Linked DNA regions of Astyanax mexicanus. The protein of the gene in region 3 purifies or fractionates together with the protein of the main gene of each other region. This does not show direct contact. Links are inferred from orthologs where the notes say so. Each region holds a gene or a part of one and is shown on either strand. Other genes may lie near its edges.

Region 1 (10,788 bases), on a different chromosome or scaffold from region 3:
GTAGCCATGAGCCTGGCCAAATGTTTAATCTGGGCATCTGTGCCTGCTGACTCCACAGGTGTATAGGTAGCCTGAAAGGAGGCTGGCATGACTTCTGGTAGGTAAACCATACTAATGAGTACCTGCAACAGAAGAAGTATGTTAATCAATAAATAAATATAATTATTGGATTATAAATCTTTAGACACATTGTTTAAGCAGTGTATACCAGGTTGGCCACATTTTCCGGTGTTAGCAGAGGCCGTATGAAGTCAGCAGTGAGGTCTATGGCAGACTGAGTGCCTGTGGTGGTTGAAGGCTTGGGGGCAACAACAGGGGCTGGCTCTTCCTTATCCTCATCATCCTCAATCAGCGCGGGTTCTAGGAGACGGGCAGAAAAATCCTAATGTTATTCAAACTGACAACCACTCAGAGACTGTACTTCTAATAATTATCTGACATCTGATGAGGCAATGAAACACAATTCGCTATTTTAAATTAAATGATTTTTCTGTACATCTAAACAACTCATTACCATATCAGTAGAATTGCCCATTGACTGCATAACATGATCTAAACCAACTTTGTAATTTGGTAGCCTTAATGCTCAAGTACAAAATAAAAACAAAATGCAACTTTTCAGCATTTTTTTAAATATGTCTTGGTTTTAACTACAGTAAATGTCACCATCTCTTTCAGAGAATAAACCAGCTGTTTATTAACATCTACACAAAAAGATACAGAAAACCTGTCTACTCACCAATCTTGATCCTCTTGCCCTCACTGTAGGGCTCATGGCGGGATCTCTTGCGAGGTTGCGCAGCAGCAGGTACACAGCGTGCGATTTCACTCTGAGCCATACCAAGGTCCTGCAGCAGCGTGGAGATCTGGCTGTGGAAGTCCACACTGCTAGGGTGCCGCAACACAGACACTAGGTGCAGTTTGAGGTTCTTTCGCACACTGCTCACTTGACTCTTGGCCAGAGTTGGGGGCAGGTTGGCTATAAAAGAAAAAAAGTCAGGCGGTCAGGGCTGTCTGAGTAGAATCCTAACAATCACCACAATCACTATAAGATTTCCACTCACCATGAAGAGTCTCATAGGCTTGTACAACCTCTGACATGAACATGGGCCTTTGCCGGGCCAGCGTGGCCAGTGATCCCAAAGCTGTGGTGAGATTAATGCTGGAAATGGCTGGGTGCACCATGAACTTGAGGAGCTGCTCTAAAGCAGACTTCCCCTCTTCACAAAGAACATCTAAAGTGAGAGGGATTAAATACGAAACAAAACAAGAAACAAAAAAAAATTATTAAACCTGGATTTATGGACATGAAAGCTGCCAAATGATGGGAGAAAAATAAACACAAAAACTGTTTGCCATATATAGTTTGAAACTAGATTTTGTACTTTGGTTAAATAATTTATTGTGTAAAAGCATAAAATAATATTTTTAAAAATCTCATTAAACACAACTTTGTCATAGATTTGACCCACCATAGCGAATGTACGAGTGATCTTTTGGAATTTTGTCAAGGCTGATGTCCCCCTCTTGCTTCTTGGGTACATCTGAGTCTGGTTTCCGTGGTGATAGGGCGATTATGAGGGATTCAGTAAATTTGATGGCATGGGTGCGAACGCCGTCATTGTCTGAATCTAGCAGAGCCAGAACCTCTTCCTTCATCTGGGTCACCATATTCCAGCATGCCTCTTGCATTTCAGATACACTCTTTGACTGCACCAACCACTGGCAGAAAGACAAACCAAAACAGTCAGATATCAGTAAGAGAAATGCTGCAAAAGGCTTTGGCTCTAAATGTCAGTCATTACAAGGTACTGAATGACAACATAAAAAAGTAAAGCAGTAAAGCAGGAAAAATACCTGTAGAGACACTTTGTAAAGATGAGTGAGTGTGAGGATGGCCTTCTTCACAACATTCACACTCTCATCCTTCAGCAGCATGTTCAGATTCGCAATCAGCTTCAGCAACAGCTCATTATCCCGTTTACTGAAACAGCACAAGTAAACGACATTACCTGGTTCTCGGCTATTAACACCAAAGAGTTTCTTTGTTATGTAAATTAAACAGCATCGCTTTATACACACATGTCACATGAAGCACTAACTCAAAGCTCAAAAATCTCTATGTGTACGATAAAGTAGACTGAGTAAAGTAAACTTACACACATACATTATTAATACTACACTATACAACACATATATATTGACACACCTTTTCATACATTGTTACTGTATATAGTAGAGCAGTTGTATATTTGGCACTGCCAACCAACATGACCAAATAATGCAGATGAGTATTAAGAAATGCAATAAGAACATCACGTAAACAAACAAAACAAAAATAGAACTCACCACGCCTCCTCGATGAAGCCAATAACAAATTTCCGCACTTCAATTGACTTGTCTGTCTGAAACGCAATCATCTCCTGCAGATGAAATGAGAGAGATGACATTTTAGTTTATGCCTTAAGGATTTCTTTTTAGAAGCTTTTATAGAACACTAAAAGTGATTTTACTTACATCCAGGAAATTATCAAGTAATGATGGATCTTTGTTAATAATCAACTCCTGCACCTAATAATCAAAACAAATATTTACAGTAAGCATGCAATTCAAACATCTGATTGTGTAAAAATGGCACACAATGCTATAGAAATATGTTTACCTGCTTAAGTGCAGTAAGTTTATCATCAGTGGACATAAAAGCAGCCTGGTTCAAAAGGTCCACTACCTATGATGCACAGTCAGTTGTGAGGAACAGTTAAAACATTTCATTGTGATGCACATTCAAAAGCTATATATATATATATATATATATATATATATATATATATATATATATATATATATATATACATATATATGATTTTTTTTTTATTTCTGACAAGCCACAGTCTCGCTCAGTGTGATATTTCCTCTGCTCTAGCAACCATTCTAAAACTGGTCACAGCCTTATATTGTGTGACTGAGTAGGTAATTCTTTAAACCTTTAGAATCCTCCTGGACTGCAAGAGCCATGCATGATGTAGTCTAAGCCACTGCTGACCAACAGTTTTGTAAGTAAGCACTCCCTAAGTTGAATTAGGAGTATTAGAACCAGAAACGTAAGACACTGTGAAGCGTTATGGACTACAGAACTTGAACTGCATAAGTGATCGGCCAAGCCACAAAGGATCCCTTATATTACCTTTTCACTGGTGGTCATATCGATGGCTGCTTCCTCCGATCCAGTAAAGTGCCTTTCTCCAGAGCCTGACGCCATTCTGTCTGCTAAACAACAGCAAAATTTCAAAAAATAATCAGACTTCCATGCAATTCCATTATTTCTTTCTGCTGGGGAATAACACATTGAACCTTGTGATCAGGGTAATTTTATGAAAAGGAAGTTAATGTTATTCGGCGATGACTAGTTTTGATCATCATGGCCAATAGTTTTTGAAAAAATGTTTTGTAACAATTAGAAGGGGCCCCATTTGAAAGAGATACTAAAAAGGCAATTGATTGATTTGCCTGTCCTGTTGCAATGGACCTGTCTATATACGATTTTTAGGCATGTCCATTTATCTTTATTTTAAATTTAAAAATCCCTGGCTGGGGTTGGGGGAGTCACAGTGCCACAAATGTTGAAGAAGCACTGATCGACTCCACTTTACTACAAATTAAACAAAACACACTTGAGATTTATTTTACTGTGGGTTTGGATTCTGTGTGAGACCTGCAGTCTACATTTACAACTACTAACTAACTACGAGCTTTTTTCGTTACAGAGCTACACTACCAACTGGGCTTTTACTCTGATAACACTCAGGTCCACACTACATAAACACAAGTCACTTTCTCCATTCACTGTATGAGGAGCTAGTTAGCTAACCTAGCTAGCTTAGCAAGTAGCTAAAGTTCTGTGTGAGACTTTTTTTTCCACATAAAGAATTTAATTGTAGAAGGAACCCTGTTCCTTTACTGTTCACATGACCGTAAACTCTCTTTGAATATTGAGTCTTGACTGTTGGGAGAATTCTAATCAGCTAGTTGACTAGCTAAAGCTAGCTTAGCTAAGCTAACATAGTTACCGTTAGCTACAGCCTGGCCTCTGAGCCGGTTGTGTATTATAGTGTTTTAATAGTAAATGAGAAGCACCAGACCGGCCCGCGGGGTTAGTTAAAGAGCAGAGTCTCGTTACAGTAACTCACAGCAGTGTTATCTCTCTCCTGTTCACTCAGACCGGCTGTAAACTCCACATCTCCATCACTCCATTCACTCCACAGGCGCCATGTCGGAGCTGAACGGAAGTGTCGGTTGTTGGAGACTCTCACAACACACATACACTTCCGTCTAAACTTCACAGCCCATTTATTATTATAAAAATAATAATAAATCAGCCTGATATTGCGGATCCTGATATTTCTCTTCAGACATTAAATATAAGGGTTTCATGTTTATTTTGAATTAAATCTGCAGCTGTCAAAGTATAATTAATAAAAATCATGAAACTGAACTAAACCTCATTTTAAAATTCAAACTTTCCTGAACCAAAATAAAACATTCCATGTCCTCCAAACATTTCGTTACGGTTATCTAGTTTTTATGTCTATTTTCAAAAATGGAAAATTTGGGAATTCCTACGGAGCCCCTAAGGTGACATCCTGTTAAAAAAAAAAATAGTGGCCACAACTTATTAAGGCGAGGGAACAAGATAAATAAGTCAGAGCCAGAGAATAATAAAGTTTGCTTTTCTGTAAATTAATGCCCATGAAAAAATATTACATCAAAGCTCCAATTCAAAGACAATCTTTTGTAAGAAAATTGAGTGTACTGGTTTCTTTTTATTTTCATCTTGGAATGAATTATGATAAGATTTTGGAGTCTCCTGGAGTGAAACATGGAACAATTCTAAGTAAAAGACAATTAATTGTCATACTAAACGCTGATGGGTTCAGACGCAAACAGACCCGTTAACCTTTCTTAGGCAGTCATATAGTGCACAAGAGCTGCTTGCTTCTGTGAAACAAGAGGACCTTGTGGACACGCCTTAATTATCTAATTTCCACGTCTTAATAAGTTGTGGCCACGGCTTAGGATCTCATTCCCACAGTTTAATAAGTCATAGTCACACATTATTATATATTTTGTCACCTTAGGGGCTCCATAGATTCCTTTTACTAATTTGGAGTTATCTATTTATTGTAGTAGAGAGTGGAAAGGCTGCTTCTCCATGGTCCTCAAAAACCCTGAAAGTTTTCAGAATGTAAAGAACTTATTTTACTGCAGAGAAAGAGTTTCGTACAGAACCTCCAAGGTGACATCATAACAAAAAATGCGTGGGAATGAGATCCCAAGGCGTGGCCAAGCTTATTAAGGAGTGGGAGTGAGTTCTTTCATCGTGGCCACAACTTAAGGTGAGGGAATGAGATAATTAAGGCTTGGGAACGAGATAAACAAGGCATGGGAATGTGATCCTAAGACATGGCCACAACTTATTAAGGCGTGGGAATGAGATGATTAAGGCATGGCCACGACATATTAGGGCGTGGGAACAAGTTAATTAAATCGTAGACATTGAGGTGTGGTCATAAGCTTTTTTGTTTCACAGCAAACAAAGCAAGCAGCTCTCAAGGGTTGTGCACAACATTACATTACATTACATTTGGCAGACGCTTTTGTCCAAAGCGACTTACAATAGTGAAGTACAAAAAGTAATAGATGTTAATGGTAAAAGCATCTTTAGATAGGGCCTAAAGGAGGTCAAAGAGAAATAGTAGGATAGAGGAGTGAAGGAGGGGAAGAAGGGAGTGAGGTTAGAAGAAGTTAGTTTGTTAGAGGTGTTAGGAGAGTAAGTGCTCTTTGAAGATCTCTGTCTTCAGGAGTTTCTTAAAAATAGCGAGAGATTCTCCTGATCTGGTAGTGGAAGGAAGATCTGGAACATGACTGCATAATGAAGGTAAACGGGTCTGTATACTGTCTGCGTCTGAGCCCGTTAGCTTTAAGTCTGAAAATTAAGAGTCTTTTACTTAGATTAAGTCTTGTCTCACTGCAGGAGACTCCAAAATATCGCCATCATTAATTTCAAGATGAAAATAAAAAAGAAACCTATTAACTCTCCATTTTCTTACAAATTTTCCTTGTTTTGGAGCTTATATGTAATAAATCTTTTTCATGGGTTTTAATTTACAGAAAAGCAAGCTTTATTATTCTCTGGCTACAACTTAATTATCTTGTTCCAATGCATTTTTAAGCCATGCCTTAGGATTTCATTCCCACACCTTAAATCATGGCCATGCATTATTTTTTTTTAACATGATGTCACCTTAGGGGCTTTGTATGTTTGTTTCATCTACACTTGTAGCCAGTATATGGGCATTATATTCCTTTAATTTGATGTTTTTACAATTACAAACAATTACAAAAGCCATGTCCACTAAAACACCTAGCATATATCCAGCATATATCCAAAATTGAAATTTAGCAAATGTTTTAAAATGGAAGATTTCACTCTTTTTATTCAGAATTATTTAAATAGTTTATATAGTAGCTACACAAATGGAGAATGATATTTTTCACTGGACAATTTTCTGTATTCTACTGCAATACACACATTTTACATATGGGTACAGAAATCAAATTTTTCCGAAATAATTATTTTTTTTCCAATGGCAAGCACATTTGTTCACTTAAGATGCACGACAGGGTAAACAGTTTTGGCAAAAATTGGCATTTAATGAAAACACGAATGACCTAGGTTTGCATACATTTGGAAACTGTTCATGGTGACCTTGGTCCATTACCTGGATATTTTAGAAGGACAGGGTGGACAGCTAAAGCTTTACCTCAGCTAATTATACACACAATATGATACATAGAAAACAGGGAACTCTGCAGACATTGCAAAAATCTGCGCACTAAAGAACATTTTCGCATTAAAGAAAACCGCTTGAAATAAAAAAAAAGTACTTTAAACTAAAGCTTAACATTCCTCTATATTTGTAATAACGTGTTCTTTCAGAGTAAATCTTGAAAAATATATTGTTATAGCCTATAAATCTGAAACAGTTATGCTGAAGACACAAAGGTTTTATTATATTGATTTTGACCATGTGTATTTACACTATTTATTAATATACTTGTGCACAAATTCTTTTATCATTTTACACTCATCCATTAATCTATTTTCACAGGCAGGTCAGATAACCACTATAAACAGAAATGCACTTTTGCAATCGTTTGCCGTAAAAGTACACATTTCTGATACAAACCATTTAGAACGAAAATTTTTTAACACAATTTCAGTTCATTTTTTAAGAGATTTGGTTAAATTAGCTAACATTAATTACTTTAGGTTTAATAATAGCCGTAGGTACTGTCCAAGATGGGATATTTTAGCAATATCCTATTCATTTTTTTCACCTTTACATGCTGTTACTGGACACGTTTTGTACCGATAAAATCTATAGTGCTCATCAAAAATATATCAGTAGTTTAAATAATTACTATTGGTTGCACATATGGATGTAGTAACTTCAGTCACTTAAATGTTTGGTCTGACTGAAAGCTGCTTTCAAGAACAAATGATCTACAATCACTTTGAATAAAAGAAAACTACAAAACAACAAATCAAGTCATTTCCTTAGATTATATTCTCCAATACAAAAAAGTGAGTTTTGATCTGACACAAAACCACATGCAAATATTGTTTTACAAACATGGTACAAGGTATAAAAACTTTTACAACCACACAAGGAGCAACTAATGCTCACTAAACATGAGAAGACATGAAGCCAGCCAGTTGAGACATTAAGAATGGTATATAAAAGGATTTGACAAACTCCACAGGTACATGATTTCAATTAAAGCGTTAGAAAGAATTATGCTGTTAAAATGTTCACTTAGTATTTATCTACACAAGATTGCTTTCTTAAACCAATGAGGGAAAATATGGTTCTTAAAAGATGAATAAAAAGAGCAGAGAAACAAGTTTCTACATACAAAACTGTCAAAACTGATCAGATGTAAAATCCTGCGCCCCCACTACACGTAATCAACCACAAAGCGTTCAAGCACATTTGTGCGTGCAGTATCTGGAACAAACTACATCACATGTCGCTACTCATATAAATTTGCCTGCTTGCCGTTTATAAATATCTGAACTAAACTCTGAGTTAACATAACACTTCAAGAGCAAAACTGGCTACTGCCACCAGAACTAAAATGCATTAATGGAGCGCAAGGAAATGCAGTTACATTTAAGGCTGAGCAAATAGGGTAAAAAGTAACAGAAGCAAACAAAAAACATACAAAGCTTTTAAAGGGGAGTGGCGTAAGGGAGAAGGAAGACTATGTGAGGGTAAGATAAGACGGAGACTATAAAAAGATAGGCAGAGGAATGATGTTGACGGAATGAGCTTGGAGGGTCACGGTCGATGCAGGTACTACTGCTGTGTGCCCTGGGAGCCTTGCGTGTTCTGCTGGTTGCCATAGCTGCCGTAGTTTCCGTACTGGTTGTAGTACTGGTTCCACTGGCTCTGGCTCTGGTAATATTGCTGCCATTGCTGAGCATACTGCAAACACAACAATGAAAAAAAAGATCAATCAAGATCACAGGTCAAACAAACACTATTATCAAAACTATTTCTAAATAAGTACTAGATACGTTTCCTGACACTATGTTTGAGAGACCCCAAGATGATATTTATTTAAGGTACCACAAAGAACTATGATGCTACTGTCCAGTTATTTTTTTAAAGGTGTGTCACTGCAGGTTTCATCACACCATATCCTTTCCCCAAACATCTGTAGTGCTGAAGTAGCTTACCTGCTGATACTGCTGGTTGTAGCTCTGCTGCTGCTGCTGCTGTTGTTGTTGTTGTTGTTGTTGTTGTTGTTGTTGTTGTTGCTGCTGTTGCTGCTGCTGCTGCTGCTGCTGGTTGTATGACTGGCTCGTGGTAGCAGGTGGCTGGCTGTAGCCCTGGCTGTATCCTGGGTATTGGCTATAGTTTCCGTAGTTGTAACCTTGGCTGTAGCTGCCTTGGTTGTAACCTTGATTGTAGCTTTGAGGCTATACAAAACAATTTAGTTATTACAACATAAACCACAATCCATTACTTTCCTGAACTATTCACCACAAATTAACAAGTTACCTGGGACTGACTGTAGCTGCTGCTGGCTCCAGAGCTACCTTTGTTGTAGGAGCCCTGGCGATTGTGGTTGTAGCTGCCTCCCTGTTGCTGATTGCGATTGTAGCCTCCTCGGCCACCTGAATCTCTGTAGTTGCTTCCCCAGCGATTCTGGTTGTATCCACCACGGTTGTAACCTACAGAAAGCACAAAGGAACACATACACCATTTATCCGACTGAAACATAAAAGAGCATATTCAAATCACTAGGCAGCACCAGCACAATAAATAGGAGAGTGAGAAAAGGAAGCTTTGCTTTGTAAAATGCTTTGGAATAAAACCTAGAGCATAATTGTGGGATGCAAAATGATATCGGAATTATATCGGCAGATTATTATTACTATTTTTTTTTTTTAGAATCACTGGAATCCGGCCCATGCCAAGATTTGGCCGATACATGCTGACATATTCTCAATTATCAGTTATTCTCAGTTATTTAAGCAAATGTTTATGTTTATCAATAAACTGTTTTATTTAACCTAACAATAAAAAGTTAGTATAAAACCGTGACCAGTCTACGTAAGGAGACATTATCAGATCATATAGTTTGAAAGCCTAATACCTCCACGGAAGCCACCACCTCCTCCTCCAGGTCCGCCACGGTTTTGGTAACCGCCTCGGTTTCCCTGAGGTCCGCCATGGTTGTCATAGCGCTGGAAACCACCACCACCCCCACCACCGCCACCTCCTCCGCGGCCACGGAATCCACCCTGGCGGTTGTCGAAACGCTTTTCGGGCGGGGGGCCGGCCTTGCGCCCCTCCTCGTTGTACTGTTTGATGAGTGGTTCTGCCTCTTCACGCTGCATCTCGACGTAAATCACCTCATCCAGAAAGTCTCCAGCCTCAGGCAGCACAAAGTTGGCTACAGGTAGGATGGGGAGGGGGGCAGAGGGCACGCAGTGAGGGAGAGAACAGCCGCACAGCCAAGAAACAAAGAATTATTAGCATCATAACAGTGGTGGTCAAAAGAAACATTAGACTGAGCAGATAAAGTAGTTAAGAAAAAGAGACAGTGAAAGAGAGAAAGTTAGACAGAAAGAGAAAAGATGATGTGGTGGGAGACTCAGAGGGACCTCGGACAACTATTGCCTTAGTTGATTAAGGCAAAACTTGTCCCAGAATAAGGGTAAACGATGAAAGGTAAATATAAAAAGAAAATTCAACAAAAGACAGTTGCCAGAAAAAAAGTGTTATAAGAGATTAAGGGAGATTGTGCCCGCAAATCAATTAGGACGTACAGTTGCCTTATACAGTTGATAAACTGGACAAAAAATAAAACGTTAAACTTAAATAAATCCAAATTGATAGTGAATAAAAAAGTTGCTAATTTGTGTAAGCCAATCTATTATTTCATGTTGTTTTCCAAGTTTGCTGTGGTACAGAAAATGTAACGTTGGAGGAAATTGAGTTACAGGGGAAGAGAACAGAATGACGATAAAGAACAAGAAAAAGGAGAGGAGCTCTTTTATCTGGCAAAACAAAAGAGGGTAGGTGGGGATCTCCAAGTTTGTGGGGAAAACAACAAAAACAAAAAAAATCCAAAAAACAAAAACATAGCAAAAGCAGATCTGGGTGTGTAGTTGAAGCATTGTTTTTTGTTTATCTGTGGCATTCCTACCTTTCA
Region 2 (11,313 bases), on a different chromosome or scaffold from region 3:
ATACACTGTAGTTGTCAGAGTTAGATTATTACATATATCTGTGCTAATTAGCTAATAATAATGATCTATGAGATTGTATTTAAGTGAGCTTGTCAAGCTAACTTAACAAAAGCAGGACTATGAAGTGTGCACTCACAGCTTTAGCTCGAATGTCGTAACCACACTGAGTATTGATCACATCCTCCTGCAAAAAGTGAAAGCGAGAGAGAGAAAGAAAGAGAGAGAGAGAGAGAGAAGACACGTTAATCTGAAAAATCAATGTGATTTTTTAAATTTTTTTTTATTTAACAGCACAGCACATTTGCAGTAAAGCTAGGCGATATGGTATAAAATATTATTTAAATATTTAAATAAAGACATTTTTAAGGTACACAATATTTATATAATGTGTGGACATCGACAAATGTTTTGTGTTTGATGTAAATCAAAGCAGCTTTACACTATATAACTACACGCGTGGGTATGGAACACAGGACTGTCTTGCTCTATTTACTTTCTTGTCTCAGATCTGCTCAAATGGTTTGTTGGTATGCATTTTGGGGCCTTCAGGTTTGTGCCTGTGTGAAAACAAACCAAAACGAGGGGGAAAATGCTTCAATTTAACAAACTAATTAACTGATTTGCACCAGAGAAACAAAGGTGTGACAGATGTGAAAACCAACAAATATTCCTTAATGCACTGTACAGTGATTTCTTTTTATTTTTGCGTTTTGGCAGCACATCATTAAATTTTACAGGATTTTTTTACACTGTAATAAAATGTGCAGTAGGGTCAGTGTTCTTTAAGCAGTGATGATATCCTTGATATACCTAATAATATATAATAAATAATATGTATGATTGTCCTCCTCTAATTTGCAGTATAACTCATGGCTGCCGAGGGTTAATATTTGGAAAAATATTTTGATAAACCAGAGAAAGATGTTTTTCCTGTGTACTGGCAATTCTCACAGACTACAGGGCGGATTGCAAACTCCCTTTCCATGCAGGCGTGTCACACAGCTGTATAAGCGCAATGCAGCTACGAGTAACAAAATGATTAAATATATATAATATTACATTGGATTAAATAAATCGTTTTTAAATATGTTTTCATTTGGAGTAAAGAAATATGTTGTGATGAGGTTCAATTCATAATGTAATTTGCGAATACCGGATGAAACACAAGCCAACGAGGGAAGTAGCAGCATTTGTTTGCACTGGTTATGTATTTATTTAAGTTTATATAAGTGTTTGAGTTGAGTTTGTTACAGTGAGGAAGTTGTGGGAAGTTGCTGCACTAGGCTGGGAAATCCTGAAAACTCCCTGTTTATGTTCTCATGGCTTCTGGAAGAAGGAGCGACATTCTGAGCTGGTGACGTAATCATGGGTTCTGTGTGTGTGTGTGTGTGTGTGTGTGTGTGTGTGAGAGTGAGTGAGAGAGAGAGAGAAAGAGAGAGAGAGAGACAGAGAGAGAGTGTGTGAGTCAGAGTGTCTAAGTACTCACAGCAGGGTCCTTTGTACAGCAGGAAAACGGTACTCCACATTTCTCCCGGCTCAGGTTGGTATCGGTGCAGTTAAAGTAGATGTTCAGATTCCAGTCCTCTGGCCCAAATGCTCCACAGCACTCCCACTGTGCATGCAAGAGATGTTTTACGATTTATTTCTAATTTTCTCCCATTTTTTCTCCTCAATTTAGCTAGACCAACTGTCCCACCCATTCCGCTGCTAGTCAGCTGCATATCCCCCATCACTAGTGATGCCACAACACAAGGAGGATACATGTAAAATCAGACACACCATTGCTGAGTAGCATCACAGCTCTAACACTCTGAGGAAAGCGCAGCGACTCGGTTCCGATACATCAGCTCACAGATGCAGCCTTGTGCTGATCGACATCACCCTGTACATCTACTGTACCCACCCAGAGAGAGAGAGAGAGCGAGGCCAATTGTGTTCTCTCAGGGCTCCGGCAGCTGATGGCAAGCCGCATGACCAGGATTCGAACAACAATCTCCCAATCATAGTGGCAGCGCTTAGCCTCATGTAAGAATACAGCATGTATGTCGTAAATTTGAGAAGAAAAAAAAATATATATATTGACTTTCTCTTAAGAATTACAAAGACATAAGAGTTCCTTCTCCTATCAACTTGCTGCTTTGGAGATATGAGGTTTTGTATCATCGATTGGGATGATTGACAGTATTTATATGTAATAGCAGTGCAATGTAATCCCATGTAATCCCATTATAATTAGTAATATTTTTTTTCTTTTAGCAGCTCTTCATTAATTTTACCACTTTTTTTAGCATTGCATAAATAACAAAACTAAATGTATTTCCTTCTGATTTCTCCACTAAACATAATTTGTATAGTAAAAACTATTTGGTACATTTATTTTGCCATTTTTGGCCGAACAAATTTGATTGGTGAATGTTCTGTGCATCCCTAATAACAAAAATATGCCCCATGAATAAGCATATTCTTACGTATTCCTGTGTAAAATCTATGAGGTTCTGCAGGTCGATGTCATCTCTGTAGGCTCTGATGTTGTTGTTGATGAAGAACTTGAGCTGGTCCTTGATCCAGTCTTTAAAGACGAAGGCCAGAACTCCAGTGGTCAGCTCCAGGAAAAATATTATCCCCAGGAATACGGAAAACTGGAGGAGGCGAAGAAAAAAATGTTAAGAAAATGAAGGAAAGAATCTGAATAACAGTCATGAAAAGCCAGTAAACCCTATGAAAAACTTTTGCTTAGGTTTGCCATATTTTTCGCACTATAAGGCTCACTTAAATTCCTTTTATTTTCCCAAAAAATCTAATGGACAGTGTGCCTTATAATCCGGTGCACCTTATGTATACATTTTACTATTTAGGTATTAAGGAGCAGTAAAGCACCTCTGCTGAAGTGCAGCGTTATAAGCACAGAGCACATAGTTTCTCAGAGTATAAAGTTTCTCCAGCACTAAGGCTGAGTGCAGCAGCTTTAGCATTAGCCGCTAAACCGCAGTGCTAGCTCTTTCGCAGTTCAGAGGCGAGTATATTGGAGTGTAGTCTGCGTGTTTGCCATGTTAAAACAAGCTATGTGGGACGAACCGGCAGTATTTAAAACCTGCTAGCACTGCGGTTAGCGGCTAACGCTAGTGCCGCTGCACCCAGCCTTAGTGCTGGAGAAGCTTCACTGAAAACTCTCCCTTATACTAATTTTGAAAGTCTAAACTTACTGTTAATAAACGGAAACGCTTTACTCACCCAAATAAACAGCTTTAAGGAAAGAAATCTGTATAGATTAACATCCAGCACTCGTTTGACTTCAAACGAAAAGTCTTTTTTTTTTTTTTTTATAAAAATTACAGTTTTGTTCACTTTGGCGTTTCCCCCAGTTTCAACATTCGAAGAAGGATTTTGGAGTAGTCTGTCCAGATTAATAGGTGATCCGAAATAATATTTAAATTGGACAGACTCCTCCAAAATCCTCTCTAACGAATACAATGGTATTGCGATATGCAGGTTCATTATTGATATGATCAATATGTGGCATCAAATACCGATATTTGTATTGAAACATAGGCCCTTTAAACTTCCTAAGACTAGTCCGCTAGTTTGACTTAGTAAAGTCAAACTACATATTACTCCATGTGGTGGCGCTAAGATCAAACGAATAGTCTAAACCTGCAGTAAGGAATATTGGTTGCTAAATTTTATGAAACCGACACCAAAAGATGTTGTGAAATATCATAGAGAATTGTCTTTAAATATACTGAGAATCACAGTATTGTGAAATCTTCGTTATCGTGGAAAATATACCGTGATAATATTGCATTGTTCACCCCTAAACCAGGATAAAAAAGATAAGTAAAATATTCTCCAACAGTCCTAAAATTGATTGTTTATTATGTCCAGGGGTCTGCCTATTTGTTCTCTGGCAAATGTCCTGAAATTCTACATTTGTATTGTCCACTGTACACAAAAACACAGGAAACAGACTCACAAACTTGAGCAGGAAGGAGTTTTCCCGCAGCGCTCCGATGCAGCCGGCGAACCCCAACACAAACATCACCCCTCCAACCACCAGAAACAGCCAGACAGGGTCGAACCCTCCCAGATCAGTGATGGAGGAGATGTTCGAGAGAACTCCCTGAGAGAAAGAGAGAAAAAGAGAGCGAGAGAGAGAACGAGTGAGGTGAGAGAGTCATTTTGTCTCATTTTCTGCCCAATATTGAAAGCCAATTAACCCTCTCCTCACTCATATGAACTGCCCTCTGCAGACAACTTTTAAGGAGATGTGGTTTTCATTTTCCAGCAGGACTTGGCACACTGCCAAAAATAACAATTGGTCTTATTGTTATTGGATTTTTGGGTTTTCATTGACTGTAAGCCATAATCATCAACAATAAAATAAATAAACGCTTAAAATAGATCACTCTGTGTGTAATACTGTGTGTCTATGTGTGTGTGTGTGTCTGTGTGTGTGTGTGTACCTTTTCGCTCCATGCCCATAAAGCCACGGACAAGAACGCCACCCCCAGCAGCTGAGGAGAGATTCAGCATCAGTTATAATGAGTGAACAAACACATTGCAAATGATTTATTTTATATATATATATATATATATATATATATATATATATATATATATATATATATATATAAAATAGTTAACTACATATACTACATATTTGAAGTATATAAATATATATATTTATATACTTCAAATATGTACAGTAACATGCATATATGATAAATTATAAAGAATATTATCATAATAATAATGATAATAATAATAACGTTGCAAAATAGCGCTAATCTAAGCTAATAAAAAATAAATCATGTTGTTATTATAATTAGTCACCAATACAAATAACAGTTATTACTGCTATTATTACACTGAAAAAAATGTTAATAATTGTATTAATATTTACACTGTGCAAAGGACATATTAACTTTGTAGAAATGTTTTAAGTCAGCCAATTTTATATTTGCTCATTTTTTTGTCTGATATTAAAGTTTGTTTGATAATCTGAAAAAAAAAAATTGGTATGTAAAAAAAATCTGTAGGGGGCAAAGATTTAAAACTGCATTTTAAACATGGCATTTTAACATATCTGAGTTTGTTTCAGTAAAGACAGAGTTAGAGATTGTCTGGTTTGTGAATTTTGTAAGTATTTGTGTGATTTTAAGCTAAAACCAGATCCAGATCCTCATTCTGACTGAAGCCCTGGACCCGATGAACCCGGGAGCTCTGCGAGCTCTGGAGCTGAGGGACCGGGCTGACAGACTGACAGTGCGCGCGGGGGGGGGGGAGACAGTAACACCGCGCGCCGCTCTCTCACCCAGAAGATGATGTTGAACCCGAAGATGAAGTATTTAATGCAGCACCCGACCTCGTGCACGTTAAAGTGCTTCCCGGACATCTTTACCGCGCGCTGCGTCTCTCCGAGAGATCCGCTGGAGCCGAGCCGCCGCTCCGTCGCCGCTCCGTCGCCGCTCCTCCGCTCACCCACCGCCTCCTGTCCGCCGCTCACCCGCTGCTCAGCGCCGCCACCATCGCGCCGGATTAAAGTCTGCGCCTCTAAACGCCCCGCAGGCGCTATTTAACAAAATAAACCCTCCGAGAAACGAAATACACCCGTGTCTAGAGACACGAGCTCAACCCAGCTCAACACCACAACAACGGAGCGGCGCTCCCTACCACAACCACTTAGCGACAGATCAGATCACTTCCGCCCAGCTCCATTCCTTAAATAAACTTATTTCAAAATAAAAGTCGAGTACAAGCTCTGGGTTCGCTCTAAGCGAGGATATTTACATCAAATCACATTACAATACATTACAATATAGAAGTGACCCAATTTACAAAAATTAATTTCAGAGAGGTTATCCTCGACCTGGACTTAAATCACCCCCTCCCCTGTCTAAAAAAAAAGAACTCACGCACACACCAAAGGATAACAGAACTTTATAATTTGGCTATTGCTCTGCAAAAAATAAGAGACCGCTTAAAAAATATGAAAATATCTTTGATTTTACCAAATTGAAATCCTCTGGAATATAATCAAGAGGAAGATGGATGATCACAAGCCATCAAACCAAGCTGAACTGCTTGAATTTTTGCACCAGGAGTGGCCTAAAACTATCCAAAAGCAGTGTGTAAGACTGGTGGAGGAGAACATTCCAAGAAGCATAAAAACTGGTGATTAAAAACCAGGGTTATTCCACCAAATATTGATTTCTGAACTCTTAAATCGTTATGAAGATGATGATTATTTTCTTTGCATTATTATTTAAGGTTTGAAAGAACTGAACCTTTTTCATTATTTTGTCCATCTCTTATTTTTTCCGACTTTCATGAGACTTGAGACATCTGTATATTGTATATTTTTGATAACCCCTATTTGACCACAAGGAGAGATTTATAATACATTTGGTTATAATCTTAGGTAAATAAGATACGCACAAATTGAAATTGCCCCAAAATACCTTCATTCCAAGCATTTGTTTATTTGGGTCTATATAGTTATATACATATCGTAAATTTAAATAATTAAAAAATAAAACGAATAAAAAATAAGAAGTCATAAATCCATTGAAGCTTTTAAATTTAGTTTAAATCCCACAATTTTTTATTTTGTTTTTATTTATTTTTTTGTTTTTTATGTTGTTGGATATATGATTCGCAAAATTGGTCTATTACTGTTTCTGTTTAGATTTGTTGGATAGTATTTGGTACAAAAATGATTCGGATAATGTACTCAACAGTTCCCTTAAACGTAATTATGGAGCTTTACAATCAGTCACGGTTTTTAAACCTAATATTTGTGGCTCTGCAGGAATGATAATAGAAAAAAAACATTAGTGCCATTTATTATATTTTTTCACTCCCCAATCTAATATTAATGTAATAAATAGAGGCATGAAAAAAAAACAAAACAAAGAAGCATCGATTGTTTTTAGCAAATGGACTTTTATTATGTCACACAGAGCGGAAGTTGCGTATTCAAAGGGCAGCAGTCTTCCTCCGGTTAGTGTGCGGGGTAAGACGGATCGGTTCCCCCGTTTAATCCGGTTTTGGCCTCCTCCAATCCGGTTTCTGGTCTTCTCTGATCCGGTTCCAGTGTGGTTGAGGTGTTCGGGTGAGGCTGCGCGGTCTGGGCGGTTCGGCGGGTTGAGCAGAGCTGAGATGTCCGCGGAAGAGGCGGAGAAAGCGGCCGGGCAGGAGGTGAGCGCGGCGGCGGGGGACGAGGAGGAGGAATGGCTGTACGGAGGTGAGCTCAATACTGAACACCAACACTGACTACTGAACACTCCAAAACACCCCATAATATTAAAACACTTACTCCTCAACACGCCATAACACTCTCTCCTCAACACTCACTCCTGAACACTCCATAACATTCAAACACTCACTCCATAACATTCAAACACTCACTCCGTAACATTCATTCACACCTCATAAACACTCCCTCCTAACATTCAGCCACACCATCCTCTCACACTCCGTCCTCACTAACACTTATTCACTCCCTAACACTCAGTAACACTCACTCCATAACACTCCAAAAACGTACTCCCCACTAGCACATATTCGCTCCATAACACTCTCTCCCTAATATTCAAACACTCCTTCCTCACTAATACTTATTCACTCCCTAACACTCAGTAACACTTACTCCATAACACTCCAAAGCACTCACTCCTCACTAAAACTTATTCACTCCATAACACTCATTCCTCACTAACACTTATTCACTCCCTAAAACTCAATAACACTCCCTCCAAAGCACTCCCTCCTAAGTAACACTCACTCACTAGCACTCCCTTACTAGCACTCCCTTCTAACATTCAAACACTCACTCATCACACTGGCTGACTCTGCACATACACTCGCTTTGCACGGACACTCACTCTACTCACTAACACTCACTCTGTACGGACACTCTGCAGGAACACTCACTCTACTCACAAACACTCACTCTACTCACAAACACTCACTCTACTCACAAACACTCACTCTACTCACAAACACTCACTCTACTCACAAACACTCACTCTACTCACAAACACTCACTCTACTCACACTCACTCACTCTACTCACAAACACTCACTCTGCACGAACACTTATCCACTCACTTACACTCCCTCCTAACAAACACTCAAACACTCACTCCTCACAGTAGGTGAGAGTGGTAGCCAAATAGTCCTGAATATTCTTGAAGTTTTGTAATATTTAATTAATTTTTACTTTTGTTCCAATGCACATGAATGAAAATAAACATTTTCTGGAAGAAATACTTAATTTCTCTAGAAAGAAAATATATGGATATAAAACAAAACAAATAGACCTTGCTTAAGTATTTACACTAGAACTGTTGTTTTTTTTGTATTTGATCAAATACAGTTGTGTCTCAGTATTGCAAAACTAAACAGAGTTCTGGGTTCTGGGTTAATTATGACTTCTAGACGTTATTCTACAGAAATATTACTGTATATTGTAATTTAAGTTAGTTTGCATTTATACCTTCTTAAAAGCATAAAATCATGTTATATATAAAAATGTACTGTTTAATATTGACTTGTTGGTGTTTATCCAGATGAAGGAGAAACCAAAGAAAATGAGGAGGAGGAGGTGGCGGCCAAACTGACCGCAGCAATCAGGTATTATACATACATTAGATCTGTTCACACTGTAACTGGTCTAGTTTGATTCTGTTCACATTGAAACTGGTCTAGTTTGATTCTGGTTACACTATAACTGTTGTAGTTTGTACTTGGTGGATCTGGAGTAGTTTGATTTGTATCAATGATAGTAGTGCTGGGCGGTATACCGGTCAATTAAAACGCGTACCAGAAATTAAAACCGGTATGGATTTTTTTATGTACCGCCAGACCGCTAGAGAATCGCTGTGTAGAGCAGCACCACCACCAAAGAAGCAGATACAGCTAGCTACCTAACGCTAGCCAGTTAGGACAACAACTTAACACACTTGAGTAATAGTAGCTCCGTCCTGCCCAGAGAAAAATGAGAACAGCACTTTATCTAAGGAGCACCTGCTGCTGTTTCTCACTGTATGGGTGTTTAATCTGAGTAAAATTAAAAAACTACAGCAAATATTCACTATTAATACTGTAATGCCTCTAATGGCTTCAAGAATAACACATAGTACATTGATATTAAATTTGTGTTTTACTTGTGCAATAGAGCTTTTGAGAAATATCTCTTTGATTACTTACATTTTGAGCATTTTAAGACCATTTAAAGAGTTTATGAAAATTTAAAGCATTATTCTTCTATATTATATGTACTCCTAATTTCTGCTTATACCGCCCAGCACTAAATGATCATCTACTTTTTACAGTGCTCCACCTGCCGCTCCTGTTACTGAGGAAGTCCCTGCCGGCAATGGAGTGGCTAGTCAGGTAAGAGTACATTTAAGTTATTATAATAAACTTAGGGACTGAGTTACCACTCATACAATTACAGTATTTAGAATAGAGTCATAGCTATACGATTGATGCGGTTGCCATGTCATACATGTAGTAGTCAGTTTTGTGTAGGTACTGGTGTGTAAATGATCAGTTCTGTGGCTTTTTTTAGGAGGAAGCTCCTGGAGACGATGAGGATAGTGAAAGTGACAGTGATGATGACGACGATGACGTCCGTGTTACCATCGGTGACATCAAGACAGGCGCACCGCAGTACACGTGAGTATGATGTGTTCTGTGTTACTGTAGAGAACCTGTCATCTGGGAGAAGACCAACATACTCCATTGTATGGAGTTGGACAGGTGCATCTAAAAAAAAAAATAATTTAATTGAAAAGTTACTTTTTCAGTTATTGCAGTAATTTCATTATGTTTTTTGCTCTTTTGATTGGATGTTTTTGTAGTAATGCTGTAATAAGTGCTGTATTTAAAGCTGTGGTGTCTTTTTCAGGACATACGGGGCAACACCGGTCAATCTGAACATAAAGTCTGGTGGCAGCAGGCCGTATGGAGCAGGTACAATCTGTAAATTAATAAGTCATGCTAACAAGCCACAACTCATGAGACAGGATGTTTGGACTGCTAGAGTCACTTGTTTTATGCACAGACAATTCTGGTTAGATGGCAATCGTCATTACCACCCACTGTGCTGTCGTCCACTGTGGGTGGTAGTGTCTTGTAGAATAGATTGACAATACACATGACACTCTGAGTCATGATTGAACAATGATAAAAGCCTTCACAACTTCAGAAATGGAATATACCACTATTGGCACCCACTATCAAGCCTCACTACAACTCCTTTTATTCATGTTGCCTTGCCATGAGCATGCTGGCCAGTGTATAACGTCACTCACAAGATAAAAACTCACATTTTCTAGAGGTGTGGCTGTTTACAAGTCATCCCCTGAGATAACACTTCTGAAAAATTGTCGTCTGCAGATTGCTTGATTTAGCTAATTCGCATTCTGGACTATATAGTAGCAATATACACTGATTTTGAGAACACTGAACTGTACGCAATATAAGGCAATATAATCAAAAGTGCGAAAAGTTTTGAAATTTATTACTCAGGTAGGTGGATATATACTAGTATTTTAAATGCTACTGTAGAATCTGAAGTATCTACTCAAAAGTAAAAATAATGTATGGTGAAAGAATGCTATTTAGGGCAAAAGGTTAGGCAACGCCATAGGACCTATGGTCCACTACAACCCCCCCTCGCCAACACATTTTACTAAAAGCCATAATGACTATAAAGTTATATTTAAATTCTAAGCTAAGTAAACTAAACTGTTCGTCTTAAAAATATATATTTTAAAGTCAAACAAGCCCCGGATGTTAATCTGTACAAATTTCTCTCCTGAATACTTCCATTTGTTTACAGTGAGCTTAGATTTCCAGATTTCCACTAAGGCTGGGTGCAGCAGCATTAACATCCAACCGCTAGCTCTGATGGATCGTATAAACCAATAGGGTGTCAAAATAATATCTAATTCAAGTCTAATTCACTCTGTCAGGATAGAGAAAGTTATCTGAATAGGGGTTTTATTGAACAAGGAGAATCCAGAATAAAAACAAGCTAAATGGGATTAACGATGCTATTTTTAAAATGTAAGGAGTAGGATGTTAAGTTAATCGAGTGAAAATGTATAGAAAGTAGTATAAAAAATGTGTGAAAAATAAACACTCCAGTAAAGTATAGACGGACAACATTTTCTACTTAAGTAAGCTGACTAAACGTTTTTTGTACTTAATTAATTGCTATCTCTTGGCACAGTTATCAGTGTATGTAATATAAACAAACCTTAAATCAGGTGTTTTAGATCGGACATTTTTTTTTTTGGGTCA
Region 3 (10,541 bases):
GAGGCGGGATAAGCGGGGTACTCATCCAATCAGTACCCGCCTCTCCTGCAGTAGCGCCGCGCGCTCAGTTACAAACCCGGGAATTAACCTGTCCTTACGGAGCTCGATTGGAAGTTAACTCGACAGTGTTCAGCAGGGAGAGAGAGAGAGAGAGAGAGAGGGGAGAGGCGATATATTTCTCCTTTGACGTCGCGAAAAACAAGATAACGTGTAAACCGCGTGGAGCGACTCCATCTCCGGTAAAAACACCACTAATCTTTCAGCTTCTGCAGACCAGAGTCCCACAGATCTCCATGCAGAGATCCGCGTTTTAATGCTGATGTTATTTCATGAGCTGATGTGTTTAACTCGGCAGTGCACTAAAACACAGAACTGATACAGAACCCTAACTCATTAAGATCAGATCATCTGCTTAGTCTCACAGTGGGAAAGATATAGCTAGTGTTAAAGGAACAGGTCAGAAAGGAACTCAATAATATATCCAAAATAAAACAATAAAATAAGTGAATCTATGAACCTAAAAGTCTGTGTAAAGTTCCTTACAGCACTTTCTCATAAGTTTCTTACTTTAACTCATGAAGTCTCTCAGTACATCCTGAGAGCATCTCTACAGGACAGTGTGTGAAGGTGTGTTTTTTGATCTCATTTATAGACTGTAGCTACAGTAGGTGTGCTGGGTTAGTGCTGGAGATAAAACTAGATCATTTAAAAGCTGTTTTTGCATCTACAGATCTGTTTAAACTATAATTTAACTATTCAGTTGTTTTATGACCTGATTTCTAGAGCAAAATTTTAAATGTAAAATATATATAGTCACACACCTATAATAATAATATACATTAAATCATATATAAATATATTTCACATTCAAACATTAACAATATTACTCAAGTGGTTATTAAACGTTTCATTTCGTATACGTGTAGAGTTAATAATTCAAGGGAACTGATGAAAAAGCATTTACATTTACACCCTTTACATTTTAGTCGACTAAATTTACTGTAATTTTAGTAGACTATATTCTTATGGCATTAAGTCGACTAAAACTAAGTTGACTAAATTACTAAATTGTGACCAAAACTAAATGCTATTTTCGTCACAAGACTATAACTAAGACTAAATCAAAATTTGTTGTCAAAATTAACACTGGTGGCAAACCTGCAAGTAGATAGCTTACAGTTGTTGTTACATTGTTTGGTTTTAAATTGTTTTATTATCAATTTATAGAAGTGTTTCATAAAATTGTTTGATGAAATGGTTTCATAAGTATTTTTATAGAGTGATTGAAAAGGCTTTTTTATTTGTTTATCTATTTGTTAACTGGAAAGAAAAATAAAAGAATAATATGCAATATGTGGTTGCTACATTCATTGAGGCTTAAAAAAACCACAATATTGTAAGTAATCCAAAGTAATCAGATTACGTTACTCACTTGAAGTAATGTAACTGATTACGTTACCAATTACATTTTGAGTGATGTAATCAGTAATCTGTAAGGGATTACATTTTAAAAGTAACCTTCCCAACACTGGACGTCGGGCCCTCATACCATCCTCATGGAGTCGGTTTCTAACCGTTTGTGCAGACACATGCACATTTGTGGCCTGCTGGAGGTCATTTTGCAGGGCTCTGGCAGTGCTCCTCCTGTTCCTTCTTGCACAAAGGCGGAGGTAGCGGTCCTGCTGCTCGGTTGTTGCCCTCCTACGGCCTCCTCCACGTCTCCTGGTGTACTGGCCTGTCCCCTGGTAGTGCCTCCAGCCTCTGGACACTACGCTGACAGACACAGCAAACCTTCTTGCCACAGCTCGCATTGATGTGCCATCCTGGATGAGCTGCACTACCTGAGCCACTTGTGTGGGTTGTAGAGTCCGTCTCATGCTACCACGAGTGTGAAAGAACCACCAACATTCAAAACTGACCAAAACATCAGCCAGACAGCATAGGTTCTGAGAAGTGGTCTGTGGTCCCCACCTGCAGAACCACTCCTTTATTGAGTGTGTCTTGCTAATTGCCAATAATTTCCACCTGTTTATTCCATTTGCACAACAGCAGGTGAAATTGATTGTCAATCAGTGTTGCTTCCTAAGTGGACAGTTTAATTTCACAGAAGTTTGATTGACTTGGAGTTATATTGTGTTATTTGAGTGTTCCCTTTATTTTTGTTTGAGCAGTGTGTATATATATATATATATATATATATATATATATATATATATATATATATATAATATATATATCACTGGTCCTTTTCTATCAACTACAACTGATACAGCTAAACCTTACAGTGCAACATGTGTTGTTTCTGCAGTGCTAGATTTAAAAAAAAAACTTACTCTACCACAACAGATCTAATTTTACCTTGGCATCTTTGAAGCTCAGGAGCAAAGCATCTCTGTTGTTCCCTACAAGCTGAACGCTGGCCATAGACATTACATTTCCAAAAAGAGAGAAGGACGCCACCTGCTCCAGCTTCTCCTTACGGCTCTTCCCATCTGATAGTTTTTCTGCTTTTGCCGGATTCTGAAACGAATAGTAAAAATATTAAAATAAGTTCATACACAGTGTAAAGTTCAGTGTATAAAGCTATACTGCAAGGCAGCTTTACAGATATAATATAATGACACAATATGTACCCAAACTAATAAGTAGCTGTATATGGGTTTACAGTTACAATGACTATAACCCTATCCGGACCAGATTAGTTTCTCAGGGGGTCCTGGGGTAATTTTCTCTCTTATGGATGGTCCGCTGTTCAAGTGGAAATGGAAGAGCTACTGAACGTGAATAAGGTTGCATTCAGCATCAAGAGCGTTGGGAAGGTCAGCATCATCACCTCACCTTAATCCCATGCACACAATTTATCCCCAACTTGCCATCATTCCAGACAACACAGGTTCACTGCTCCCATCTTAATTCTGAATAGACAATGTACCCCCTCTAATCCATACCTGGCATTAAGCATGGTGCCAACAAGCTCATGTTTATCTGCTGCAGAGTCCTTTTTTATTTTCTACATACTGTACTTCTGTGCAGGCACAAAACAATGATGATGAGGATGATGTATGTGTGTATTTCCATGTCTGTATCAGCAATGCATCATGAATGAGCTGAAAATCTTTTTGTTTTCCCCATTTTCTCAAGGCCAATTGTCCCAACCATCCCAATGCAACTCAGCTCTATATCCCCCATCGCAAGTGATCCCTCAACAAAGGAAGGTGAAGACTAGCACATAACTCATCCAATACATGTGAAGTCACCCACCACTTCTTTTTAAACTGCTACTGATTTAGCATTACCAAGTAGCATCACAGCAAACTCTGAGGAGTCAGCTCAGGGAAAGAGCACCATCTACCCACCCAGAGAGAGCAAGGCCAGCAGATAATGGCAAGCTGCGTGACCGGGATTCAAACCAGCAATCTCCTGATGATAGTTACAGCACCAAACAGGAGTTAACCACAGTCTTGGACTTCACAGCATGATAAATAGAGACTTTCTTTTAAAACAAAGAACAAAGTCTACAACCAGGCTTTATCCCTGTCCAGGAAACCTTCTCCTGTGCAACACTCTTCTTTTAAATCAGTCTCTCCTCTCTAAATGCTGTATAGTCCAGGACCAATTTTTATCCCTGTACAGGAAACCTGGTCCTGTACGACACAGACTCTCCAGTTAAAATGCTGTAGATAGTCCAGAACTAGGCTCAACCTTAATCTGAGAAACAAAAGAGTTGTACAACTTACTTCAAAGTCATGAATAATCCTGTAGACGTAGAGCTGAGACGTTCCAGCCACTACCAGGTTCTTCTCTTCGCTGGATATAAAGTTGCAGTAGACGGAGAACTCCAGCCCGGTAGGCTGGTGGGCCTGCCGGTACACAGCATACATCCTGCAGCCCCCAGCTCAGCACCTGAAGAGCAGCCCGCACATATTAACCCTTTCACAGGCCAGCATTTTTGTCAATTTTCTGCCTGATTTTACACACCTTAATCTTGAAGATTTCTATTCAAGCATTACATAAAAAGCTTTCAAGGTTGATAATATACATTACTACAATTTCTAATTGTAATTGTGATAGAAATTATAAAAAAAAAAAAAAGTAAATCTGCAACTTTAAAAATGTAATGAATAACAGTCATAAAATTGTCTCTTTCCTTAACTTAATTTCAAAAACAGTATTTTCCTAAATACAAATCAAGCAGTTCGGGTCCTCCAAATCTTTCGTTTCATTACAGTTGTCCAGTTTTTATGTTTTTTTTTTTTTAAACCTGCAGGATTTGGGTTTGATTCCTGTTACTGATCTGAAATTATTAATTGGAGTAGAAAGTAAACAGTCATCTTCTATAAGTGTCCCGTAGGAGATTTCAGAGCCCTCCAAGTTTTTAGAATGAGACCAACCTATTTTACTGCAGAGAAAAAATGTTTTGTATCATTTACACTTGTACCCTGTATACGTTTCAATGCACCTATTTTAAAACTAATTTAAACAAGTAGCTACAATAATTGCAGCTAGATATAGGCTTAAAACACTCAAATTTGTGTCTGTATATTAAGATGTAGGAGAAGTGGGTCTTGGGGGGTTACTGTGTTGTTTACATTCACGGCAAAACATCTCTCAAAACTGCGAATCTTAAATTAGCGTCTTATTGAGATTGGATTTTAATTTCTAACTACAACGACAGCTACAGCAGTTTAGCTGTACATTGTAGCTACAATCGTTAGAAAGGTTAATTAACTATTTGCCTAGCTAACTAACCAGCGTTAACGAGATTAACATTTAAGGTGGAGCAGAAGATTAACAATATAAAGTAAAACTAAGCTTCACTTTCAAACTAGCGACCATTACAAGCGCCAAACACATTCTCTATTACAAAACGTCTGCAGATAAAAATTGTGTTTTATTATACAGACGAAATAACCTACAGCATCTGTCTTCACTTCTTCACTCAGAGCTCCACACGCTTCTGCTCATATTAGCGTGTTAGCCAGGTGCTAGCTAGGTTAGCTAACATGCTAATGCTAACTTTTATTAGTTTAAAACACAAGTAACTCTTAGCTCCTTCACTCTCGGAACAACAGCACCTTACAGCTTCCACCTTTAACCCTCTCTGTGTCCCCCCCTCTGCAACAAAATCACATTTTTAGAGGAATTACCAGCAGAACAGAAACAGCTAGCAGCCTAACAACAACAACGAGTCATTCATTACACTTCCCACAATGCCCGGCTCCAGTCAGAAAGGGTCTGTTCCAATTTGCGCGTTGTGTACACTTGTGCACTTTCTAGTGCACTTTCCAGGTTTGACTCTTAATTACCTTACGAAATTTTTGTAATCCATACTTTACTAAAGTATTTTTTGACAACTTTTTTACATTTCTTACATTTTAAAAATAGATTTGTTACTTCATTTGGGCTTGTTTTTATTCGGGACTCTTATTGTTTAAAAAGAATAGTATACAATATAATAAAATGTATTTGCATTCCCATTTTTAATGGGCAGATATGCAGCTGAAACAGGGATCCTAGTGCATCCCAAAGTGTTTAACATTAACATTTTAATATAACATTATAATTACTTTGGCTTTAAGAAAATTGTTTATCTTTGTTTATTATTTATAGACTGTCCCTTTTGAATACCAGCTTTTGCTTGTTTTTATAATGTAGAAGTTATGTAATGGTACTATATTCATTTTAATGTGAAATACTTTATATTTCCTTTATTTTTTATTTCATTTCTTGACCACACTGATAAAATCACCTTTGACAAACCTTTGTCACCACAATACAATGACAATAATAAAACAATAAAAAAAAAAGAGAAGCCTTATGTTCACCATGTCCAGAAGTGTCATAAAATTATCTGGGCTCTAAAGGCATCTGGGACTGGGGACTGATGCAGTGGGATTCCAAATCTTTTTTGGAAGAAATAGATGCCATATATTTCAGACCAAAGATGAAAAGGACGATCCAGACTGTTATCAGCAACAAGTCAAAAAGCCAGGTCTGTAGTGGTATGGTGGTGTGATGCAGCATTAATGCAGAAAAGTACATTAAGACCTTCAGGACCATATCTTTGTCATGGCTGCAGAACACTTCATCACCAGCTCCAAAACATATTTTAAATGTTTGACAAAAAAGCAACATTAAAAAGTGATACATGCTTTACTGACATAACTTTTCGGAATGTGTTGCAGGCCTGAAATGCAGAAATTGATGTATATTAATAAATTACATTTTTAAATTAAAGTTGACGAGACAAAACATAAAAGATCTTGTGTTCAAAAGACAAAGGGAATGTAGGAAACACTGTGCTTTTTTAATAAGCATTTTCCATACTGTCCCAAACATTTTTCTGATTTGGGGTTATACAATACTGATACCAGTGTGTTTGGGGAGTTGAGGGCAAGCTGGTAACGTATAAGTGCCTTTTGAATTACTTATAAAAATGTAAAGCAATAAATGATGCTAATGTATCAACAATGGAATACAGGCAAGCTCTATTAAATTGTGTTTAATAGTCCTTTTCACACCTTACAGACATTAAGGATTTCTTGTCTTTATCACATTATCCTCCAAGTGTGTAACTGAATCCACACTAGCAATGGCAGCCTACACAGAGTAGTTAAGGGCTGTAGTTCATGAGTACTCTTATACACTTACATACACACATTTTTGGACACTGGTAAACAGACTTTTATTTACCATTCTTTCATTACATTCACATTAAATACAGCAATGGCATATTAAAATATGTGTTTCTATGGAAAGAAATTTGGCTACAGTTGATTAGACTAGATAGACTAAATAATAAATGCATTTACGGTATTTGTATTAATCTTTTATGTTAAAAAGTGCAGAAGACAAAGTTACTAAAAGCACAGAGAAGACAGAAGACCCGACAATAAGAAGCCCACATCCAAGCCAAGCTCACATTCAACCGTCACGGTAAGGCATTTTTTTTATTTCATACTGAGAAAAACATCTTTGGCGCTTCTCTTTTTTTTATACAGCAGATCATGTCAGGCTTTAATCTGTAAAGTTCACTGACCTGTTTCCTTTGTAATTTCAGGCATAGCAATCTTAATAAAGGAGTAATAGGTAAAGTAAGAGCATCTCTATACCACTTTTTAAGACGTGACTTGAAACTACAGTCATCGAAACCACAGTTAAATCATACTTAGTAAGATTGACCTTAATATTAAACCTAATATTTTAAATCTGTAGAGAACAGGCAGATCATGAAGTACATACTGGAGCTTTATCTGTGGTATTTTTGTAATCCAGTATAATTTTGAAGTATGTGTAGTTATTATAGTCTGACTAACAATTTTTAAAACAATTTTAATCCAATATGAATTTGCCTTGTGTATAATCCCAGCTAACAAAAACACAGATGTTATTTTCTGACAGTTATCACTGTGTTTGGCTTAATTCAAGTATGAATCTGCAGTGTGTATCTGCAGTCTCTTAGAAATAATCGTGGAGTGACTTTAATCCAATATGAATTTGCAGTGCCTGTAGTTCCTACTGTTTAAGTGATGGTAGTTGTGTTGTAATATGTTGTAACAACATATTTTGACAGAAATTACCACAAAACATTATAGCCTGTGGCATCAGTGGGAATATGGGAATTTATGGCAATTACACTGGTACTTTATCCTAAACCACCTAACCAATCATACTACACTTGTTAAAATACAATTCTTACTCAGATGAAACTTACTCAGCTCCAATCGGACTTCAATTAACCTTCTTGCATGTAATAAGGTACTGCGGGAATGCCTGTGTGTCATTAAAGATAACAAACAACGTTGGGGAGTCTATTTTATCCGTCACACTGTGATACCGGGCAGCTATTTCAGAACCCTCCTTCGGTGGCGCAGCTTTCATTTCATGTCTTCCCACGGTGTAGTCTCCGGTCAGCACTTTGGCTACAAATATAAACTTGTGTCCGTCAGCGTTTTGTGGGGAGTAGGTGTCCGACACAGACAGAGCAGATTCTACAGCGAAGTACACACCTTGCCCATATACAGTAGCTGTGGGAAATAAATATATATTTATGTTAGTATCAATGACTGAATAAGGTAATAAGGAAGCATAATGTCAAGTTCGGTGTCTAATGTTTTCTTCTAGTAGTCTAAATGTAGCTAACACCAACAATTAGCCTTATGCTAACTGTAGATAGCACATGCCTAAATCAACACATACTCACTTACAGTTCTTTGTGTAGATGCCATTTCTGTTGGTTAATTTAATTAACCAATTAATTTCCTCTAATTAATAACATAATTCATCACTGATTTCAGATTCAGATTACTTTATTTATCCCCAAGGGGCAATTCAAACATCTATGTAATGCTGCAGGCCGGAGCCCAAGTGGGCGTGGCTAAAGGGTGGAGCATGTGTCAATCATTGTCGACTGCAGCCAATCAGATACTACACTTTTGTTGTCAATCACTTTTTATTAAGCCAATCCTCAGACAGACCAAGCTGTCCATCATTTTTTACTGCAGCCAATCACCTTAACAGATCTGTTAAAAGAAGGCGGAAACTGCGTTGCTACTGGTTAAACGTAGCGCGATTTAAACATCTGAACAGCGGTGAAGCTGAATGTGTTTTACAAAATACTACATTAACAGTTTAAACACATTTATGTGATACTGTAGTTAGTCCTGCTTATATGCCACTCTTAAACAGAAGTAACTGAATGAAAACATTAGAAAAGCCCTGACTTTAGATATTTTTAAATCAAAGATACTCGTTTTTCTGGAATGGCACTTTCGTGATTTTTTTCCTTTATTGCAGTAATTCCAAAATTTCTCCTCGGGGATCAATAAAGTGTCTGTCTGTCTGTCTTGCATTAAATCGTGTATACGTATGTGTACGTATATATATATATATATATATATATATATATATACAGGTGCTGGTCAACGAATTAGAATAATTTGAAATAGTGCAATCATGAAATTCTTTGAATGCATTTTTTGTGCAGAAAGCAAATCAGGTGTTCACCGCACCTGTCCTACTCGTTAGACTAATCACAGAACTCGTTACCTGGAAAAAAATTTGCTCAGCTGAGCTTTCCAAAAGGCCCATTTAGGCCATTTAACTGTGACACTGTTGTTTTATTGAATTAGAATAATGGAGAAACCGTTTCATTGAATTAGAATAATTTTTATTATAATTACAATCATCACTTTCTCAGTATTTTGTGGCTGCCCCCTTGGCTTGTATGACTGCCTGAAGTCTCCGCGGCATCGATTTGACCAGCTTGTCGCAAGTTTCCGCACTCACAGCTTCCCAGGCAGTGGCGATGTTCTGCTTCAGTTGGTCCAGCGTAGTAGGCTTTCTGTCGCGAATTTTCCGCTTGACGATGGCCCAAAGGTTTTCAATGACATTGAGGTCAGGCGAGTTGGCCGGCCATGCCAAAACTTCAAGCTGTTTTTTAGTGAACCAATCTTTGGTCGACTTTGCCGCATGAGCCGGTGCAAGATCCTGTTGAAATATGAAGTCTTCTTCGCCGAACTGTTCCTCAACAGTCGGAATCAGGAACGTTTCCAGAACATCTTGATATACGGCAGCATTGACAGTCTTCTTGAGGAAGCAGAGTTTCCCTACACCTTGAGCGGACATGCATCCCCAGACCATAACGCTCTGGGGAAACTTGACGGATCTTTTCACGCACTCGTGGTTGTAGGTTTCGCCACCACGACGCCAGACATGAGGACCTTGGTCACCGAAGGAGATGCAGAAGCGTGATTCGTCACTGAAGACCACTTTCTGCCAGTCTTCAGCAGTCCACTCGCCATGTTCTTTGGCCCACTTCAGCCGTTTCTCCATTTGTTTCTTGTTCAGCATCGGTTTTACTGCTGGAACGCGAGATTTGAAGCCGAGTTCGCGCAGACGACGGTAAGTGGTTGATCTGGAGACGTCAGCGCCGGTCTGCTTGTTCCACAAGTCGGTGAGCTCGGAAGTGGACTTGAACCGGTTGCTGACTGCGATCTTTCTCAGCTGCTTGTTGTCGCGAGCAGAAGTTTTTCGGACGCCGGAACAGTTGGTGCGCTTGCTGCAGTTTTTCTTCAGAGCTTTGCAGACGGAAGACTGGCTGATGCCGAGCTGCTCTGCAATTTTAGTTTGGGTCAAGCCTTGTTGGCGAAGAGCTTGAATTTGAGCCACTATTCCGGTTGAGAGGTCGCGCTGCTTACCCATGATTGATTTTACAACTTAGAAATTCTACTCAACCCTGACTTTATACTGCACAGTGAACACTCTTCACAGAAAACAAAAATTTGAGCATTTATTCTAATTCAATGAAACGGTTTCTCCATTATTCTAATTCAATAAAACAACAGTGTCACAGTTAAATGGCCTAAATGGGCCTTTTGGAAAGCTCAGCTGAGCAAATTTTTTTCCAGGTAACGAGTTCTGTGATTAGTCTAACGAGTAGGACAGGTGCGGTGAACACCTGATTTGCTTTCTGCACAAAAAATGCATTCAAAGAATTTCATGATTGCACTATTTCAAATTATTCTAATTCATTGACCAGC

The links.
Region 1: the proteins of cpsf1 (region 3) and sympk fractionate together in Homo sapiens (co-fractionation; 5 studies listed by BioGRID and IntAct, with this or other methods). This does not show direct contact. The link is inferred for Astyanax mexicanus from reciprocal best matches to the Homo sapiens genes CPSF1 and SYMPK.
Region 2: the proteins of cpsf1 (region 3) and fip1l1b fractionate together in Homo sapiens (co-fractionation; 8 studies listed by BioGRID and IntAct, with this or other methods). This does not show direct contact. The link is inferred for Astyanax mexicanus from reciprocal best matches to the Homo sapiens genes CPSF1 and FIP1L1.

The regions. Positions count from the first base shown.
Region 1 is NC_064408.1:29,755,183-29,765,970, reverse strand, and holds the start of sympk (symplekin), read right to left. Parts: upstream 4,345-10,788; 5' UTR 4,188-4,344; intron 3,268-4,187; 5' UTR 3,260-3,267; coding exon 3,185-3,259; intron 2,729-3,184; coding exon 2,663-2,728; intron 2,572-2,662; coding exon 2,518-2,571; intron 2,424-2,517; coding exon 2,350-2,423; intron 1,985-2,349; coding exon 1,858-1,984; intron 1,723-1,857; coding exon 1,473-1,722; intron 1,236-1,472; coding exon 1,065-1,235; intron 980-1,064; coding exon 740-979; intron 361-739; coding exon 209-360; intron 123-208; coding exon 1-122. Other genes in the region: hnrnpul1l (heterogeneous nuclear ribonucleoprotein U-like protein 1), read right to left, coding at 8,421-8,549, 8,804-9,046, 9,129-9,301, 9,727-10,026, 10,783-10,788. UniProt on the Homo sapiens protein: Scaffold protein that functions as a component of a multimolecular complex involved in histone mRNA 3'-end processing. Specific component of the tight junction (TJ) plaque, but might not be an exclusively junctional component. May have a house-keeping rule.
Region 2 is NC_064432.1:5,938,418-5,949,730, reverse strand, and holds the start of fip1l1b (pre-mRNA 3'-end-processing factor FIP1), read left to right. Parts: upstream 1-6,969; 5' UTR 6,970-7,158; coding exon 7,159-7,243; intron 7,244-8,570; coding exon 8,571-8,634; intron 8,635-9,335; coding exon 9,336-9,396; intron 9,397-9,574; coding exon 9,575-9,681; intron 9,682-9,913; coding exon 9,914-9,978; intron 9,979-11,313. Other genes in the region: tspan5b (tetraspanin-5), read right to left, coding at 137-184, 1,487-1,612, 2,469-2,639, 3,971-4,117, 4,461-4,511, 5,312-5,392.
Region 3 is NC_064410.1:32,869,662-32,880,202, forward strand, and holds the start of cpsf1 (cleavage and polyadenylation specificity factor subunit 1), read right to left. Parts: upstream 5,250-10,541; 5' UTR 5,148-5,249; intron 5,064-5,147; exon of another isoform or gene 4,917-5,063; intron 3,904-4,916; 5' UTR 3,882-3,903; coding exon 3,738-3,881; intron 2,521-3,737; coding exon 2,359-2,520; intron 1-2,358. Other genes in the region: uncharacterized protein parp10, read right to left, coding at 7,732-8,027. UniProt on the Homo sapiens protein: Component of the cleavage and polyadenylation specificity factor (CPSF) complex that plays a key role in pre-mRNA 3'-end formation, recognizing the AAUAAA signal sequence and interacting with poly(A) polymerase and other factors to bring about cleavage and poly(A) addition.